2 linked regions of the Kluyveromyces lactis genome follow. The protein of the gene in region 2 purifies or fractionates together with the protein of the main gene of each other region. This does not show direct contact. Links are inferred from orthologs where the notes say so. Each region holds a gene or a part of one and is shown on either strand. Other genes may lie near its edges.

What was found.
Region 1: the proteins of MRPL37 (region 2) and MRPL19 purify together in Saccharomyces cerevisiae (affinity purification with mass spectrometry, with the first as the bait; 3 studies listed by BioGRID). This does not show direct contact. The link is inferred for Kluyveromyces lactis from reciprocal best matches to the Saccharomyces cerevisiae genes MRPL37 and MRPL19.

Annotation. Positions count from the first base shown.
Region 1 is NC_006040.1:715,629-718,384, reverse strand, and holds MRPL19 (mitochondrial 54S ribosomal protein uL11m), read right to left. Parts: upstream 1,116-2,756; coding exon 666-1,115; downstream 1-665. Other genes in the region: ubiquitin-specific protease UBP10, read left to right, coding at 1-339; serine/threonine protein kinase NPR1, read right to left, coding at 1,588-2,756.
Region 2 is NC_006042.1:158,240-160,827, forward strand, and holds MRPL37 (mitochondrial 54S ribosomal protein mL54), read right to left. Parts: upstream 1,025-2,588; coding exon 728-1,024; downstream 1-727. Other genes in the region: linker nucleoporin NUP82, read right to left, coding at 1-433; mannose-ethanolamine phosphotransferase LAS21, read right to left, coding at 1,230-2,588.

The sequences.
Region 1 (2,756 bases), on a different chromosome or scaffold from region 2:
TACCAACTAATTAGTGTCGTTGTGCATGAAGGGCGATCTTTATCTAGCGGTCATTATATCGCACATTGTAAGCAACCAGATGGAAGTTGGGCCACATATGACGACGAATACATCAATAAAATTTCAGAAAAACAGCTTTTGAAAGAGCCAAACGCGTACTTCTTAGTGTACACTAGACTTACACCAAAATCGGTCCCACTTTCCTCTCAATCTTCCAATAAATCTACTGATCTAGGTATTCCGCAATTGCAAAGACCTCCATCTTCACACTCATCATCGCAGAACAACTCTAAACGTAAGAATAAGAAAAAAAACAAGAAGAGAAGGATTTCCCCATAAGTTTGAATAACCCTTTCCTTAAACTACCGGCTTACAATACACTTGCATCCTTGTTCATTCTTTCTTTGTAAACAGTCATACATGCATCTACCTCACACTGACTTCAGTTCATCTTTTTTCACTTCGGTTTCAGTTCATTTGGATCATCATATACATCTTCATCTATAGTAGTTGATATATTATTATAATTTTATCTTTTCATTATTCTATTTTATGTACACGAAATGAGGTCTACAAATGCTAATAAACCAGTTGGAATGAAACTCTCCATCGAGACCTTCACTATTTCACAAATCGATGCTTTGATTAGTGAAAAAAAAGTCAGTTTATGGAACTACCTTAATACCCATACTCTTAGCAACACCGATAATAGACTTTACGATTCCTTCAAGTTCCAGAGCAGCGTGTCTTCCATCGGTCTTCTTGATCTTGGCGATCTCATATATATGTTTTAACGACAGTTCACCACATACATTATCAGGGTTACTGATATTTGGTTGTCCGTGTCCCTTCTCAAGACTTAATGCCTTCAATAAAAGATATCCAGTAGGAGGGCTTTTCATTTCAAACGAAAATGTTCTATCTGGTTTGATATTGATGAGTACTGGAATCGGAGTACCCGGTTGGAAGTTTGCTGTTCTGGCATTGAACTCTTTACAGAAATCAATAGCTTTAATACCTTTAGACCCTAAAGCTGGACCAACTGGAGGAGAAGGCGCAGCTTGACCTGCTCCGACAATAAGTTTGACTATCACGTTCTTAAGAACCTTCGACATGGTCCTGTTTGGCGCTTCCTGGACTTACTGTTTCGATATTTTGTTCGAGGCAATTGATCGGATTGAATGCACATCTTACTTTAAGCCATCGATTTTTACCAGCTTATAATCTGGCATATCTCCAAGAATTTTTTAGGCCAAAGAAAATTTTGAAGTTATTACCCGCACATTGTTTTCCATTATACACTTTCTAATAAGCACAATTCATTGTCTGCTAAATAGAACCATATGCTGCGATGTGTACCGACTTCATGCCAAAGGTTGCTAACGTTATAAAGCATTAATTTTATGAGAATGCCAAGAATTGTTCTTAAATATTTTATACATTTGTGTACTTTTACAGGAGAGATAATTTATAACGATTGCACAACAATTAGAAGTCTATGTCGTCTCAGAAGAGTTACTCTTATTTGATAAAACATGCTGTAGAACATACCTCAGCCGGATTGCTAGTTTTACTCTCTCTCTTAATTTATTTTGCCTTTTTTTTCTTTTCAAGACCAGCAATGTGGGCTTCGCTTTGATCAACTTGGGTATGTTTGTGGTCCATTCCAGGGTGCACGACGTAGTTACCTTGGTTGTCTACTTCAACGGTGCACATGTCAATGGATTGAATCCAAGGGTCATTTAATACTTCTTCAATATTGGCTCTACAAGCAGGAGCCAAGTCTACCATCCTACCGATAATGTGGTGGGTCTCTTCCGGTAAGGAATGAAGTAGTCTTTGAGGACCAATATTCGTGTTGTTTGGATCAGATGGGTTGTTCGATTTAGATGTGCTCTCAGCTGGCTCATCAGATTGGACGGCATTGTCATAACTTGGCGGTTTAGGTGTTTTTGTGACTAAAGCACTCAAGGAATCGCAGTCTCTTCCCGAACAGAAGAATTTGAAGGAATTATCCTTTAACTTAGGTATCTTCCATGGGAATTTCTTTAATACCATACATGCAAACAAAATGGCAACGGACCATATATCAACAGGTCTTGGGTCATACTTGGTAAATATACAAACTTCGGGAGCCAAATATGGATCACTTCCAACAATGCCACTTGACTCGATTAAAGTTTTTGAGTGGGGGTAGGAGAAGACTTCTGCAGCACCGAAGTCAATCAACTTCACTATACCCTGGTTGTTTATTACACAGTTGTCCAACTTCATATCACGATGCGCCAGACCAATACTGTGTAAATATTCTACACCGGTCAAGATTTGCTTGAAACAACAACAGATTTCTTCATACGACATCTTATTACTCATGACGATGGCGAAAAGGTCATAATCACAATACTCCATGACTTGGAAGATCCTGTTGTTTTCGTAAACAATTTCAATAGTGGATATGATGTTTGGATGACGTAAAGTTGTACCAATACAGTATTCAGAAGTAATTTTCTTCACATAATCACGCTTACTTTCGTGTTCAAACTTTGGTCTGAATTCTTTTACAGCAAAGACTTGGTTATCACTGATCCTTTTCATTAATCTAACGGAACCACCGGCACCGGCACCCAAATTTTCCCCAGTTTTAAGGTAACGTTTACTGAATGGTAATGCAGGTACATGCGAAGCAGCGTACACAACGTCATTGGATCCCAATGATCCAGGCGCAAATCCTGCACTTGCACCGCTTGCATTTGAAA
Region 2 (2,588 bases):
TACGATTGAAAACAGTGATAGATTCGGGTTCTAGGTCTTCAAGATCATAAATTCGAATTGTACTATCATCATGCAAAATAACGAAAGATAACCCATAAGTAGCCAGAGGATGCCATAATAGTTTTTTTATCCCTAGACTGGTATTGAAATGCTTTCTTAATCTAGATTGCTCATTCACTTCCATGACATAGAGCTCGCTGTTCGCATGAAATGCTACAAGGCCCCCCGACGGACTGATGACCATTTGTTCTGGAACGAATGGAAGCTCCACATTATAACTCCTGTATTGCGTTTCGTGGTCTGATTGCACTCTTAAGATGTTGTCCTGCCATAAATAAATAGTGTTGGAATTGTTGCAGACAAGACGGTCGGAAGGGTTCAGAGACACTTCCTGGAAGATTGCCTTCAAATCTTCTGTATTGAAGAGTAACATCCCACTATATTGGTTCAATATCCGGCAGTTAAAGTTATGGAAGAGAAGGTACCACAGTTAGATCGCCAGTTGATCTGTGTTACGTGTATTTCAAGAAGCGTGAGAGTAGTTCATCGTCGATATATTTTGAATATTTTGAACTTTAATAGTAAAAAAAAAAAAATACCTATAGCAGATCCAGTATTGCAGAAAAGGAAGTGTACGAAAGATATCAAAAAGTTATGTTAGATATGTGTCTTTATGTCATTTTTATATGTATATATATTTACAGGCGTGAATCATACTGTGGGTCCGTTAAATCTTTGCTAAGAAGTTATTTTGTTTGATGTTGGCACGGTTGGCTATCCTTAATTGTTTTTTTCTTAGCTTGATTGGATCAGCTGCTAGTTTTTCAGCTTGGACGTTGGCATCAAGCACTGTCCAGAGCCATTCAGGGTATTCGCTGTCTTCTAATGCCACGGGTTCCTTACCGGATTTCTTGATTTGTAAGTTCAATGGAGTGCCAGCTGGACATGATGACACGATCTTGGCAGCTTGGCCAGATGCCTCGCTTTTCACTTGGTTAAATAGCACGCGAGTCACTCTCAACATTTCTCTCTTTATATAATATGAAAAATAACCGATTTGTTATGGTGGGTATGTGGTTGCCGATACCAATTCGAACCTCAACAATAAGTTTTGGCAAGTTTGTCCTGCCTTGCGGCTATCAAAGTTCATGATCATTTACAGTCCAATTTGAATTTCTATGGTACAAAATGTTGATTTTATCGAAATTTTTCATTCAAAAACTAAGAATTCACAAAACGCCAAGCAGGGTAATGGCGAAATCCATGACGACATTATAGAGGGACCAGGCCGCGTAGTAGCATAGTTTCGGGCTAAACACGGACCAAATGAATAGGTGGTACCTTAGTGCAATGCACGCTATCATTAGACATGTTCCGGTGATATAGTAATGCTGCAAGCGTAGTGTCTTCTGTTTGTAGCTTTGAGGAATTAGTGAGAGAGCCCAGTAGATGGATGGTGCGTAGTTAGACAAGAACATTAATACACCAACAACGTATATGTTATAGTTGCTACTAACACCATTGTATGCATTAGTTAGATTGACAGTTGCAATGGAGTTCGTACCACCAAATTGGAAAAAAGTGAGGTTTTGTAGACATAATGAGAAAATTGGTGTGATGTCCGGTGTGACGCTAGTCAGTATTTCAAATATTAGAAACAATGGGATATTTGCAGATGAAGTTTGGAGCAACAAGACGAATTTTATAACACTCAGTAGTTTGTTTAACATATTGGTGCTTTTATTCAAGGCGTATTTCATGAAAAGAAGGATTATAATAGATACACCACATATTTGGAAGAAAATCCGAGCGATAGGCACTAAACATTGTGAAATATCTGATTCTGTAGCATTTTCATTAGCTAGATACATGGCGCATGATCTAAGTGCGAATGTGTATAGACCGCTTGGGACTTTATCCCCGTTAACAATAGCAAAGCATATTTTGTAAGTTATCGAGGACAAGGCCAAAAAGGACACGGAGAGTAATGATACCATTTTCTCTGATTCGTCTTTGTTTCTCAAAAATGGGAAACCCACGGACAAGAAAGTCACTACATTTAACCACCATAGGACTGATGTATGTGATTTTAAAAGAGTGTGTAGAACATTGTCGTATATATATTTTTGGCCACTATTGTTCCAACCACGAATCAGCCTTAATCCAGATAGCACAACCAGTTTTTTCCCGTTCGATATTTGCATCAGTAGAAGTACGGATATCGTGATCCACCACCATATTTGATGTTCTTCTTCAATAAAACTACTTGCAAACATGCTTATTCCTAATAGCACCGAAGTACCAACATGTTCAATATATTCCTGACTTAGTTGGAAATTCCATACCGTGACTATGAGCGTTCCAATTATCATGAGAGTAGTACCATAAGTTAAGAAAGTGTAATTGTAATTTGTAGCAGCCATTGCTAAAGAAGATTGAATTTCCCTCATCTCCTCCAACAGAGTTCCTGCACTTTTCTTCTCGAGTTGTGCTTCATAGCCTGGTTTCAACTTAGTTAACTGTAGATAATTATCTTGCACTTTAATCGCTGCTAACTTGGATGGAAGCAATTGCAGGAGCTCATCAAT